Astyanax mexicanus: one gene and its partner. Each later gene encodes a partner of the first gene's protein in a complex. Links are inferred from orthologs where the notes say so. Each region holds a gene or a part of one and is shown in the gene's direction. Other genes may lie near its edges.

The links. Proteins that work in one complex are often made in the same cells at the same time.
Region 2: taf12 (region 1) and taf11 share a complex: the UniProt entries of both Homo sapiens proteins name them as parts of the TFIID basal transcription factor complex. The link is inferred for Astyanax mexicanus from reciprocal best matches to the Homo sapiens genes TAF12 and TAF11.

Annotation. Positions count from the first base shown.
Region 1 is NC_064413.1:33,269,513-33,277,529, reverse strand, and holds the start of taf12 (transcription initiation factor TFIID subunit 12), read left to right. Parts: upstream 1-5,007; 5' UTR 5,008-5,162; intron 5,163-6,418; 5' UTR 6,419-6,476; coding exon 6,477-6,647; intron 6,648-6,943; coding exon 6,944-7,021; intron 7,022-7,549; coding exon 7,550-7,664; intron 7,665-7,989; coding exon 7,990-8,017. Other genes in the region: ctps1b (CTP synthase 1b), read left to right, coding at 255-335, 447-598, 688-820, 997-1,085, 1,578-1,672, 1,854-1,916, 1,998-2,041, 2,134-2,230 and 4 more. UniProt on the Homo sapiens protein: The TFIID basal transcription factor complex plays a major role in the initiation of RNA polymerase II (Pol II)-dependent transcription.
Region 2 is NC_064420.1:51,847,921-51,854,909, forward strand, and holds the start of taf11 (transcription initiation factor TFIID subunit 11), read left to right. Parts: upstream 1-3,964; 5' UTR 3,965-4,162; intron 4,163-5,388; 5' UTR 5,389-5,400; coding exon 5,401-5,541; intron 5,542-6,280; coding exon 6,281-6,432; intron 6,433-6,989. UniProt on the Homo sapiens protein: The TFIID basal transcription factor complex plays a major role in the initiation of RNA polymerase II (Pol II)-dependent transcription.

The DNA of each region.
Region 1 (8,017 bases):
ATTATCAACATAAATGTAGATAACATTGACTTTAAAATCAGTCTATTTAAAATATATTAAATATATGGTATCTGTTTTAAAAATACAACAAAAATGGAGATAACTTTAAATAAAATCGTCAAGTCTTTTTTTGATTACAAATGATAGCAAATTGATTAGACATTCTGGGCGTAGCTATTCCAAGGGAATGTCAAAGAACTATTTGGGGGCATAAGGTACAGGAGATCTTTATATTCATTTTTTTTTTTTTTTAGATTGTTTGCCGTTGTTCCACACCTCTGGATACTGCAGTAAAAGAAAAAATCTCCATGTTTTGTCATGTGGAGCCAGAGCAGGTATCTGTAATGGATGTAACTGAACTGGACCTAATACTTCAAAAAAGACAGTAATGGTTCCATATTGCCGTGAAAGGTTTTAAATATATTGTACTTTTATTTTCTTTACAGGTTATCTGCATCCATGATGTATCTTCAATCTACAGAGTTCCTTTGCTTCTGGAGGATCAGGGCATGGTGGACTACTTTTGTCGAAGACTAGACCTACCCATTGAGATGAGGCCTCGAAGAATGCTCACCAAGTGGAAAGAAATGTCAGATAGGTAAAGGTCTTTAGCATCTTATTTAAAGCAGTGCTAAGTCTGCACTATGTTAATGTAGTGAGCTTTAGTGTGGCTATATTTTTTGACAGGTCAGACCGGCTCTTGGAACACACCTCAATTGCATTGGTGGGAAAGTACACCAAGTTTTCCGACTCCTATGCTTCAGTCATTAAAGCACTTGAGCATTCTGCCCTTGCAATCAACCACAAGCTAGAGGTCAAAGTAAGAAGTGTTATTGGGGAATGACTTCCTCTGTTAATGGTGTTCATAATGTTAAAATTGATTAAGATTTTCTTTGCAATGTAAATGTTTTTGGACCATAGTGCCTTTTGTGTTCTTTCTTTCACTAAATACACTTTCGAGTTTTAGGAGTATTTAGAAATTGTTCTCTGTTTCAGTACATTGACTCTGCTGACCTAGAGCAAGCTACACAGCAGGAAGAGCCAGTGAAGTACCATGAAGCCTGGCAAAAACTCTGCAGTGCTGAGTGAGTGCAACGGCTTGTCATATTAGTAGTCAGCACTTCTCAGGCATTACAAAGTACAAGGATTTTCACAACACCAGCATTTTGATACTAATACCAAGTGTAGCACCACAACACTCAATACTAATCAATAATGTTGCCAAATGAAAACCTATCTTCGGAACATAAAAGCATTTTCTTGGACATTGATTAAGCCAATTCTTTGACTAGAATGCAGTGTCAAATGGTGAATATCAATTGGAATTTTCATTAGTCTAGCCTTGGCTTTGGTCTGGGTTGGGAAAATGACTACAAATATTTTAATTGTACTAAACACAAAAAAACTGAAATTTCATATGTTTATTTAATATTTTTGTTTCTATCCTTCTTGAAAAGTGTTTAGATTTTTGTATTAATTGTATAGCTTTATTAAAAGCTAAATTTAAAGCATTTCTATTAATATTAATCTGTTTGAATGTGACACTTTTTTCTTGTGGTCATTTATTTATGTTTTAGTGGTGTTTTGGTACCTGGAGGATTTGGGGTACGGGGCACAGAGGGGAAAATCCAGGCTATTAGTTGGGCAAGGAAGCAGAAAAAGCCCTTTTTAGGTAAGAAGGCACGTTATATGACTTTATTTGTAAGGCCCTTACAGCAAATCTAAGAATAACCAAAAGATAAATCACAGTTCTAAAGATTGTCCTGTATTTCTGTAGTTTACATAGTGTTTGGCTTGTCTCAGTTAATATATGCTGCCTTATTCACGCTAAATACAAACGTTGTGGTTTGCAGGTGTTTGTCTGGGCATGCAGCTCGCTGTGTGTGAATTTGCACGTAACGTGCTTGGCTGGCAAGGTAAGCAGACAAAGAAACCACATGAGTATGTTAAATAAAAGTAAGATGTAGAGCTTATATTGATTTTGTTTGACTGGACAGATGCCAACTCAACTGAATTTGATCCTGAAACAAAGCATCCTGTAGTATGTATCATGTTTTTACACTAATACATACAATAAATGATACCACTATTGGCATGATCTAGACTATAGTGGTCTCTTGTTCATTATTGCAGGTGATTGACATGCCAGAACATAACCCAGGACAAATGGGTGGCACTATGAGATTAGGGAAGAGGAGAACCATCTTTAAAAGTAACACCAGCATTCTGAGTAAGTTCTTTAGAGTCCTTAAAGCAGAAGCATTATGTATCATATTTATAATTTATGTTATATATTTATTTGTTGGATGCTAAAATGAAGAATCTTAATATTATTTAAGTGGATTTTTCTGGTTTTATATTTTAGGAAAATTGTATGGAGATGCTGAACATGTTGATGAAAGGCACAGACATCGCTTTGAGGTTATAAATAATAAACAGATATTTATAAACTCTAACATCTGTTGCATGTAAAAAATAATAAGTAAAAAATTACTAATCATATTACTTTATTTTTTTGCATTACTTTTCCCCAGGTGAATCCAGAACTGACACACTACTTTGAGGAGAAGGGGCTGCATTTTGTGGGCCAGGATGTGGAGGGGCAGCGAATGGAGGTCATTGAACTTGAAGGTTGGTAAAAAAAAAGTTTGGTACTTTATTGCCATCTTTTGTAAAAGAGGCCATCAAGAGTATAATATAAAACTTTTTGTCCTGGCAGATTATGCTTATTTTGTGGGAGTGCAGTACCATCCAGAGTTCACTTCTCGTCCCATTAAGCCTTCACCTCCCTATTTTGGGCTACTTTTGGCAGCTGCAGGAAAACTTCAAAGCTTTATGCTTAAAGGATGCAGACTTTCACCACGGTAATAATTACAGTTTAACTTAAATGACCAGTCATACGTTAGGATAATAAATGCCTCATTCCTGATGATTCTTTTGAATCCTGTCAGTATACATTGTGTTTCCTTTCTTTACTAATAAATGTATAATCTGTATTACAAAGCTCAGAGGAAGGGGTTTCCCGTAGTGGGCAGGACATTGAAGTTTTGTTGATAATATGATGATTTTTTTTGTGTCCGTTTCTTTTCAGAGACACTTACAGTGACCGCAGTGGCAGTAGCTCCCCAGACTCAGAACTCTCCGAGCTTAAGTTCCCAGCAGTTTCATAGAAAGGATGTTTTCACAGATGGGGGAGAAAAATGAGGAGAAAGCACAACATACTGCACATTGTATTCCTTCTTATTGGGGACAAAACATCATGTTAGATGGACAGAATTTTTGTTCTTAGGGGAAACGAAGTACTACAGTGTTGCAGCCTACAGAGAATGTTCTATTGTAACAGAACAGTTACCTTTTAAAAGTCTATAAGAATTTAAATGCCTACACAAAAATGCTAACTGATTTTACATTTTTTGTGGAACTCAAATGTAATATTTATGACTATTTATTTACAAATAAATGTTTTGAGTTATATATGTATACCCATATAAATATGTGTATAAGTGAATGTTTGATTCAGTGGGCAAATGCCATATGCACATACATACATACATACATTTTACTCTTATATCAACAGGTTGGATTTTTACAGTTTATATCTGGGTTGTTTGGTAAGACATACTAAACCTCATCCTGTACATTAAATTGCAGATATTCTTTATTTAGCCCATTTCTTTAATTATGTTTCAATAGCCCACATGATGGACTACATAAGCAGCAAAAGCCCAAGTGTTTGCTCTCTACAATTACCTGCAAAATTGACTCCAACTGCTGCTTGGTGAAAGTGTATCCTTGCTGACTGTAAGCGGGTAGCAACCTAAACCATGAATGATTTAAGATGTAGATGGGTTAGATTTGTAAAGCATTGTAGGATATGAAGACTGGTTAGAACTACAGAATTATGGGCCTACTATAGCTCTACATGAATGTCAATGTAATTGTTTCCTTTGGTGCCACATGTTTGTTTTAATATTACTATTTTGTGTTGTATAATAAAGCTATGGAATACTTGTTGTGTCCTGATTGATTATGTTTAATGTTTAAACTGGTGAGAAAAATGAGCAATCTATATTAAAAGCAAAGTGTGCTGCTTTTTTCAGTCGTAGTAAATAAATTGACATAAACGTCATAAAAAGTTCAGCATTTTTGAGACATCAGACTCAATAAAATGAAGGCAACTGTGCATATGGGGCTAAAAATGTGTGGTGAGTGTTTAAACGTAATACAAAATAAAAGTCTTAAAAATACTGGATTGTTTTTTTTATGTAGGATTAATTAATTGGCCTGACGGTAAAAAATAAAACAGTCATAATTATTACTGCCAATTTGATGGTTAAGGCTTTAAATTGTTCAAATTATTTTTTAGATTTAAGAAAATTGCTCCCTTAATTGAATAAATGGTTCCCTCTATTTCCTCAGCTTAAGTCTGATTTGAAGGGGCTATTAAAGGTATAAAAACATAAAAGACCACTTAAAAATGATGAGTTTCTTTGATTTTACCCAATTGAAAACCTCTGGAATATAATCAAGAGGAAGGTGGATGATCATCACCAAACCAAGCTGAACCGCTTGAATTTTTGCACCAGGAGTTGCATAAAGTTATCCAAAATCAGTGTGTAAAACTGGTGGAGGAGAACATGCCAAAAAAAACTGATTAAAAAACAGGATCATTCCAACAAATATTAATTTCTGTACTCTTAAAACCTTAATAATATGAACTTGCTTTCCTTGCATTATTTGAGGTCTGTAGCTCTGCATCTTTTTTTAATTCGGCCATTTCTCATTTTCTGAAAATAATTGCTCTAAATGACAATACTTTAATTTGGGATTTGGAAGAAATGTTGTTCGTGGTTTATAAAATAAAACAACAATGTTCATTTTATTCTAACAGATACCTATGAATAGCAAAATCAGAGAAACTGATTCAGAAACTGAAGTGGTCTTTTAATGTTTTTCCGGAGCTGTATATTATTTTTCTGTTCACAGACTTTTATGTGCGTAAATGGGCATTTCCGCTGTTTAGGGCTGTGGGATCCGGTCTGCTGTAGCTTTAGCTGCCGCATCAACGGTGGCGAATGGAGGGGCTGTAATTTGCCTGTTTTTCTTAAATTTTACACTTGATTTGGGCTTTTACTCGGATGATGAGGAAATAATACACCCAGGTGCAGTACTGGTCTCTTTCTGTAGTGTATTAGTGTGTCTCTGCCTCGCTGCGGTGGCTGTAGTTAGCTGTTAGCGCTCAGTGGAGCGGAGTGGGAGAAGAAGAGCTGGGTCACAGCTTGTGTTTAGTGGTCAGTTTAAGACTTACGCGGGTTAAAATCACCTCAATTTACACAGAGAAACGTCTAAAAATTATCCTAGACCAGAACAGAAGCGTTGGTGGGTGATTCTCTCACCGCTGCCTGTAGTATTGTAACTAACTTCAGGACTCGGAGATCTGCTTCTGATGTAACTAGCTATATTGGTTAGTTAAATTATATTAGCATTAGCATCTGCTAGCTCAGTTAATTTAACTAACTAACTTCTGAAGATCACTAATGTTATTCAGCTTTAACGTTACCGACTTTAACTAAAAGCACTAATCTCTAACAGATCATCAGTACTTCCAGCTTCATTTTAAAGACGTTGTTTACGTGTTTTATCATGTAACTTATGTGTAGTTCACTATTACTCCTTAGCCAGGTTATGTTATGTAGCCCGTGAGCTAATAGTAGACTTTCAGTGTCTGACATTTGACAAACTGAACTTGGCCACTGATGATGTTCAGCCACTATTTAAACAGAGGAAGAAGTTCTAACTAAAAACTTTAGTCCGCTTAATCTCCAGTAATCATCTGTGTTTATTTTAGGAATTAGCGTTTATTTGTCCAGCAAGTTGTTAAATATTTATTGGTTTTATTGGAGAGTAGCGTTAACTATATATAAGTCCGTATATATAAGTATATATAAGTCCGAACCATCAAATATAATAAAACTAATATAATGCAGTCAAAATGTATCATTTAAAGCTTTTGTTAAGTCGATTCTTATCTATTATATAAAACATGTTTTAAACAACACTTAGCATACATTACTTTTATTGTATTTCATATTTATTGCATTTGCTTACTGAGAAGAGCTTTCAGCTAATTAAAACGTACGGAACACATAATTGTTTAAACCTTTGTATTATAGTGGCCTTTCCACCAGGGACCAGATACATTGTATTTCAGTTTACATTATTGAAGTTTTTATTGATTTACACTGATTTTGCATAGATCTATAAAAAAATACTCAAATCTAATAGGGCTGCAACAATTAGCTCACTGATGCAATGAGTTTTTAAAAAATAACATTGTTGTTTTTTTACTGCCTGTTTTCCCTGAGAGCACTACGGTATGGTAACACTAATGATATATATTTGTATTTTTTTGTTATAGTTGAACAGAGGTGACTGCAGCCTTATAGGAGGCTATTGACTGCTGTCTGTTGCTTGGCATGAACCAGTATCAACAGCAGACCAGCAGATTCAACTTGTACAACGCTGCCAAAGCGGAGGCCTCCTTAGCTTCATCCCTTACCAGCAGCATGGCAAACAGCACTGCTGTACCCGGAAAGGTGTTGGGCACACCTGGGCCTGCTGGCAGACTGAGTCCTGAAGGAACTCAGGTAAGGACCCCTCAAACTCTACTTTTTTCAATAAAGTATGTTGCTTATGTAACTTTGCAGTTATAACTGCTTGTACACATCCCAAAAGCACAAAACTGTTATGTTCATATGCTCCAATAATGGACCCAGATGTTCATTAGAAATGATCACTGTTCAGCTATTTTGTCCTAATATAAAACGTCTGTCTTATGAATAATAATATAATGCAACATATGACTTATGATTTATAACTATAATTCTTTAGCTCTCAAAGTACAATAACATGTATGCTTGAGACAATTATCTGATTGTCACAGGTGCTCAGCAAGAAGAAACTGCAAGACCTTGTGCGGGAAATTGACCCTAATGAACAGCTTGACGAGGATGTTGAGGAGGTACTTGATCTCTGTTGCACAAATTATTTTTATTTAATCAAATTATTTATTTGTGAATATAATCTGCATAAGGAAGATTAGATATAACAATAAAGTAAATTGAAGGACTGAATGAAGTAAAATCGGTAAGCATTTCTTAATTGAAGGTACTTATTTTAAGTTAGCACATCTTCTTTTAATGTATACAGTTTAAATATAAACAATTTTTACAAATGGTAGATGCCTCAAACTGTTTGTTTTATAATTTGTAGAAAAACATGTTTAAAAATTCACATTTAGAAAAGATTTTTTTTAGCAATTTTTCTCTATTAGATATTCTATTAAAATTCAGTTTTCACATTTTATCTTGTAGTATTATTGTTTATTATTATTATTATTATTATTATTATTATTATTATTATTATAGTTGACATTTGAATTGCTACACTTTATTTCCTGTTGGGATTAAATGCTTTCAACTTTGCTGTAGGTATGTGCATGGAACACACAGTCCTGCTGAATCTGTTTTTTTTTTGTCGTTTGTCTCAGATGTTGCTGCAAGTTGCTGATGACTTTATAGAGAGTGTGGTGACTGCTGCCTGCCAGCTTGCCCGACATCGTAAGTCTAACACACTGGAAGTAAAGGATGTGCAATTGCACCTTGGTGAGTGGACTGTTAAACTTTTGTTTATTTCTATATTGTTTTTACTGGTAATTTTACATTTATGTTATCCTCTAAACTGTAATTGAGTCTCAATTTGCATTATTGTTTATACTGTACCTACACTGACATACCATTCAGAAAAGCAAGATTTTCTTATAATAACTCTGTTTCTCAGTGCTGTCCAAACAAAGTTTTACACAATCTATAATATCTACAGTTTACTTCTTTTAGCTCATTAATGTTATTCTGTGTCCTCTTTTCGACTTAAAGTTCACACATTTAAACCCTCGGTTGTAGTTCTTAATTACACTGTGTTTTTGCACAGAGCGCCAGTGGAACATGTGGATCCCTGG
Region 2 (6,989 bases), on another chromosome or scaffold:
TGTAACTGGGAAATATATTCATGCCTACTGGTTTGGAGCAAAAACAACTGGTTGGTTGGTTGGTTGGCCAGTGTTGAAGGTTCTCCACCCACCAGGGTTCCTCTGTAAGCCCAGTCAGGAGACCATCTGACCTACCAGTCTACCACCTACCATGAGTTACCATCAGAAACTGGAGGTCTTAAAACTGGATATGGATTGAGTTTGTTTACATCCTAACTCTGGAGAATGTTGGGAAATTGGGTGGAGCTTCCCTGTAACTAGGAAATAAATTCATGGATACTGGTTTGGGTTGGCCACTGTTGAAGGTTCTCCACCCACCAGGGTTCCTCCAGAAGCTCAGTGAGGAGAACATATTAAAACACTTGGGTTCTGGTATAATTCCCATTATTCTGGAGACCCCCGGCTCTCTGGAGCTCCTCGCCGGCCTCCATTCTGCTCCTCCCGGCCACCAGCACTTTTGTACGGCCCCCAATCCCAACCCCAGTCCCGGTCCTAGTCCCCACCAATCCCCCACCACCGCGGGATCCCCCTACCCTACCTGAGGAGGCTGGAGAGCGGGTGCGAGGACGAGCCGTGTCCGCCACCACCGCCTCCGCCGAAGCTCCCCGCGTTTCCGGATCCTCCTCCGGCTCCAGCGGCTCCAGCAGACTGCCTCTTCCCGCCCAGGAGCTTCTCCACGGCGGCCAGGTTCCCCGTCCGCGCCGCCTCCAGCAGCTCCTGCTCCTTCCCCATCTCCGCTCAGCGAGAGAGCGCGCACACGCGGCCGAGCGACAGCACTCCTCCGCCGGCCTCTGGATCACAAAACGCCCGCCGTGAGTCTCCGAACCGCGGCTTCTCCGCCTCCCCGCCTCGGTATTCCCGACCCGCACCGGGACAACTTTCCTCCCAGCGGCGCCACCGCGCTCAGCCCACAGCCCGCCCGCATTCCGCACAGGCCCCGCCCACCGTACCCGCCCACTCCACCAACCAGCCTATCACATGTCCACAACTACTCGAGCGAATGAGCAGCCGCTCAATCACAGCGCAGTATGAAAAACACCAAAAACACTCCAACCAATCACAGAGCGGCGGCTGAGCTGGGCGTCAATGTGGTCGACTGGCCAACCGTAGAGCAGAAGCAGAGACGCTTTGACCAATCGTGTGGCAAGCTGGGGAGAGAGTAAGAGCGAAGGTCCAATCATAGGGCGTGGACGGAGAGCTACTACTGGCCAACCGCTGCGAAGAGGGGCGGGGCTTGGCGGAAAACGGGTGGGGATTGAAATTTCGCCACACCAAACTTCCTCTGTCCTTCTTGGACACGTCACTTCCTTTATTATTCGCCCACACATTTATTTATTTATTTTTATTTATTTTTATTTTTTTACTATTTACTTATTTATTTGTTTGCTAATTTTGTTTATTTGTTTGTTCATCTATTTATATATGTGTTTATTATTTATAAGCTTCTATTATCCTTATTTTTATGGATTGATTATTTTTAATTATTTGTTTATTTGTTTATTTGTTTGTTTGTTTGTTTGTTTATTCATTTGTGTACAGCAGCTCTGTGAGAGTGCTTTAATCACACTGATTACCTGATCACCGCTTAGGGAATTGGAATCAATAAATCAAGTTGCTTTTCTCCCCAGTGGGCCAATACTCTGTATTGATCTGTGTGTGTGTGTGTGTGTGTGTGTGTGTGTGTGTGTGTGTGTGTGTGTGTGTGTGTGAGAGAGACCTACACTCAGACACTAGAACAGTTTATAACAGTTACTATATTATTAATAAATCATCAATAATAAAGAGAAGTGCTGTAAGCAGAGCAGAGCTGATCAGACTGATTGATCAGCTGCAGGGTTTATGGGTATATGTAATCAGAGAGCTGTCTGTCTGTCGATTAGACGGGGTGTTTAAAGGTGGCTGATCGATCTGGAGTGTAAAAAGTGTGAAAGCTGAGCTGCATTTTCCCACACTGCCAATAAATATTGATTATCCTGACGGTGTTTAACACATTACAGTATTACCGTTGTTAACAGGGATGCACTGATGTGGGATGTGGATGTGATGTGATCCTCATGTGATGTGGATCTTCCAATGCCGATATACACATATCACTTACAGAGAGACGAGACACTAAAATATAATATTTATATAGCTTTAATTTTAGCTGTCAACCAACTGTATATCAGCAAAACAATGAAAGGTGTCTCCTGAGAGATTTGTTTTATATTTTTTGGTCAGTTATCAGCTAACATCTACATTAACATCCCAAATTAGACTAACTTTAGTAGACAACTGATTGTTTTTTATGGAACACCATCATTCCAGAGAATACAGTTCCACTGCTCAGCAGCTCAATACTGGGGGTTTATTCCCCTCTGCCTTACGCCAGATATTGACTGTAGAAGACTGACTGAATTAGACTGACTGTTTCAGGCTGACTGTAGAAGACTAATTGTTTCAGACACACTGTTTCAGACAGACTGTTTCAGACAGACTGTTCCAGACAGACCGGTCCAGACTGACTGATTCAGACTGACTGTAGAAGACTTACCGTAGAAGACTGTTTCAGGCTGACTGTTTTAGACTGACTGTTTCAGGCTGACTATAGAAGACTTGCTGTAGAAGACAGACTGTAGAAGACTGACTGTTTTAGGCTGACTGTTTCAGAGGGACTGTATAAGACAGACTGTATCAGATTGACTGTTTCAGATGGACTATATCAGACAGTCTGTATCAGACAAACTTTGGATAACTAATTATTTCAGATGGACTGTATCAGAGAATATAGAGGACTGGCTGTTACGAACTGACTCTTTCAGATGCACTATATCAGACCGTCTGTATCAGAGATTATCGAAGACTGACTGTTGCAGACTGACTGTTTCAGGTTGGCTGTTTCAGACAGTCTATATCAGACAGATTTTGGATAATTGTTTCAGATGGTCTATATCAAAGACTATAGAGGACTGGCTGTTTTAGGCTGACTGATTCAGACTGACTGTTTCAGAATGACTGTTTCAGGTTGACTGATTCAGACTGACTGATTCAGACTAGCTGTTTCAGACTGACTGTTTCAGGCTATAGAAGACTGACTGTATTAGATTTTGGACGACAGTCTGTATCAGAGTCTATAGAGGACCGGCTGTTTCAGACTGACTGTTTCAGGCTGACTGAGGCTGATTGGGTATAAATGATTCAGCCCCTCAGCTGTGGGCTGGAATCCCAGGGAGACTCAGGCAGGCCTGGTTCAGCTCTGCTATCAGAGGCTAAATATGGAGAAATATTATAAATTATTCCTCTGCGTGTTTTTAGAGAATCCCTGCTGAGATAGTCCAGCCTTTCCGGAAAATACCTGCTGGAATTACATTTATGTATCATCCCACATGGAAAAGGAATATATGGACATATAGTTATTTGTATTCTATATTTTCTATATATGTTTAGCTAGATATATTCATTATCTACGTATATTTTATCTTTGTAAATGCTGTCTAAAATGTCTAGCATGTATTTATTTAGTTATATTTGCCCATTTGAGCTGGGGAGAAACACAATCTCATTAAGCTACACACTTCATGTTTTGGCCATTTTCATACATTCTGAAGTATATTGATAAATAAAATATTCATCTATATTTTAAATATACATCTATTTTGTGTCTAATATTTTTCACATATTTACATCCAGAAATACATATAATCATTTTACCGTATTAAGAAATTAAATAAAACAATGTGTTACAATTTAAATTTAAAAGAGACTTTTATATTTATATCTGTAAACAAAAATCATAAAAATATTGTCTTATCTTACCTTTACCCTATTATTCAGTAACGTTTATATGAGTTTTTTGCCTTAGTTTTACATTATTTTTGTTTTTTAACTTAGAATTTTGTAGATTGTTTGAGACAAATTAAATTAAATAACCAACTTAAAATGAATAAAATAAAAATAAATAGAACGCTTTTATTTTGGGACTTTTATTATGACACTGTGCCGAAGCGCAGTATCTGGGAGGTGTTGAGTGGGTGGTTTCTCCCGGGCTGCTGGTTTATTGGGGTAATTTCGGGTATTTTTAGCTGTATTTTCTGTCAATTTCACACAGATTATTATTAATATTGTAGTTTTAGAGCCGCTGGATCAGAGAAAAGCCGCTGGAAGTTTCTCCTCAGATTAAACGGTGAGAAAAAGCGCGGGAATGTACCGGTACCGCTAGCCTAATGCTATCAGCTCAGCTAATGAGAGATTCGGAGTTTATTTCGGATTTAATTCATTTGTATATCGGTTTATTTAACGGGGGTTAGTAATAAAACAGGGCGTGTGTTTTGTTATTAGATCGGGTTCGTATTTTAATAAAAAAATAAATTAGGATTTACTAATAACCTTAAGATTGTGAATGTTAGCTGCGGTGCAGGACTTTTAATTTGTATTAGTGCGTTTTGTCTTTATTGTTTTAACAGTGTGTTTGTTTGTCAGCTTGTTTGTTTGCGTATGTTTGATTCTATATTGTGGTGTTGCGTTCTGCACTACAGGACTTTTAATTTGTATTAGTGTATTTTCTTTGTTTGGTGTTGGGTGGTTCTATATTGTGTTATGTTCTGCAGTGCAGGACTTTTAATTTGTATTTGTGTTTTCTTGTTTTATCGCTGTGTTTGTTTGGTGTTATGTTGATTTATGTTGTGTTATTGAGTTCCTTATTGTAGAAGTGTTTATTTGTAACTTGTGTTTTTCTATTGTTTAAACACTGTGGTGTTTTGTTTGTTTAGTTAGTTTTATATATATACAGCTCTTTTAAGAGCACTTAAAAATGATGATTTTCTTAGATTTTTACCAAATTAAAAACCTCTGGAATATAATCAAGAGGAAGATGGATGATCACAAACCATCAAACCACCAAACTGAACTGCTTGAATTTTTGCACCAGGAGTAAAGCAGCATAAAGTTATCCAAAAGCAGTGTGTAAGACTGGTGGAGGAGAACATGATGCCAAGATGCATGAAATTAAAACTGTGATTAAAAACCAGGAATATTCCACCAAATATTGATTATTTCTGAACTCTTAAAACTTTATGAATATGAACTTGTTTTCTTTGCATTATTTGAGGTCTGAAAGTTCTGCATCTTTTTTGATATTTCAGCCATTTCTCATTTTCTGTAAATAAATGCTCTAAATGAGAATATTTTTATTTGGAATTTGGGAGAAATGTTGTCTGTAGTTTATAGAATAAAACAACAATGTTCATTTTACTCAAACATAAACCTATAAATAGCAGAATTAGAGAAAGTGTATATAGTGCAGTAGGGTGGATAAGTGTAGCATAGTGTTATTATAGTGTGTTATAGTTGCTGTATTGTGTATTGTTTATTGTGTGTTGTGTTAATGCTGTATTGTGTTGCCCCCTGCAGGCCGAGAGCAGTATGGCGGATCCGTGCCGTGTGAAGGAGGAACCTGCAGTTGGGGTGGAGATCTCAGATCCTTCACAGCCGGTAAAACAGGAGGATGGAGAAACTTCGTCCACTCATACACAACAGAGCGGCGTAAAGGAGGGGGACAAAACGGTGAGACACACCGACACACAGCATCAGTTACTATAAAAAAAATATATACTGGAGCTGTACAGGACTAGGATAGTAACGTTAGCTGATTTAATTTCGAGTTATTTCACTACATCACTACTTATTCTGCTTAAATCGGACTCTGGTTGCTTTGTACTCTTATATCGCTTTTTCACCAACGTAAAACCTGGCAGCATTTTAGTTCACAAACCTAATTTTGAACTGGTTTGCTGCGTTTCCACCAGCAGAAGTAGGTTACGGAACCAGGAATGTATACGAATGGTTTCACTAAAACTGGTTAAAACACGGGCTGGTTTGCTAAAAGAACAGAATGGATCTGGTTCAACATTTATTTTGGTGGAAAGGTGCTAAAGTGCGGTTCGACCAATCAGAGCAGACTTTGGGCTTGCGTTGTGTGGTGCTCCTAAACTTTGTGCCTGTTTGAAAACAAAGCAAACCAAATGGGAAAACTCTCCAAATAAGCAAATTTATCAACTGATTTAGACCATGATCAGGTTAAATTTTTTGGACTATACTGACAACTTCCTAGAAACTGCTCAGTATCAGGTATAGGGAGACTCGTTTCAAAATAAAAGTCCTCTGCAGAGTTGTGTAAATTGTGAAGCAGTGGTGGTAACAACTACAAAATATATGTAGCAAAATAAATGTACCAATAAAGAGTGGTGGTATGGTTGTGTATGAAAGTGTAAAAATCAGTTTGCTGATTTTTGTGTGTGTTCAGGTTTTGAGTAAGGACGCTGCAGGTGTAGAGGAAGAGGAGGAGCCTCACTCCAGTGGTCAGTATCCCTCACCAGCGAAGAAGCTGAAGGTGGAGCCGGAGAAGAAGAAGGAGAAGAAGCACAAAGTGGATGAAGACGAGATTCAGAAGATGCAGTGAGTTCTGCTGATCCACTTCTATCAACACAAGGCTTTAATTTGTCTTAAATCCACCCAAAGGGTTTAAAACTGCCGCAGGAGAGAGTCCTAAACATGCAAATAAAAAACAGAAACATTAAACTAAAATACACAAAAATGGACAAATCACTCTCCATCTCCACTCTCCAGCCCCCAAAACTCAACTCATAACTCAAAATAAAAATAACTATAATTAGTTGCATCAACAATGCAAAATAGAGTAAATAATAAATAATAGTTAAACGTAGTTGTGTAATTAAAAAAACATAAACAAGTTGTTTTAAGATAAGAAAATAAACATTTCCTGAATCAATAAAACAATATAATTCAGAAGTTAAATAAAATGAGAGATAAATATCTCCAAAATAGCAAATATACAGAAGAGAGAAAACACCTTCTTACCTTTCAATGGAAGTCAGTTTGGAGACTTTCTATTGGTCCATTCATAAAGAAATTCTGGTACAGTGTAAAGGGTAAGTTTGTGTGTTAAAATAATACAGTAAACTAAAAACTGACATCAAAGGAGATACTTGTTT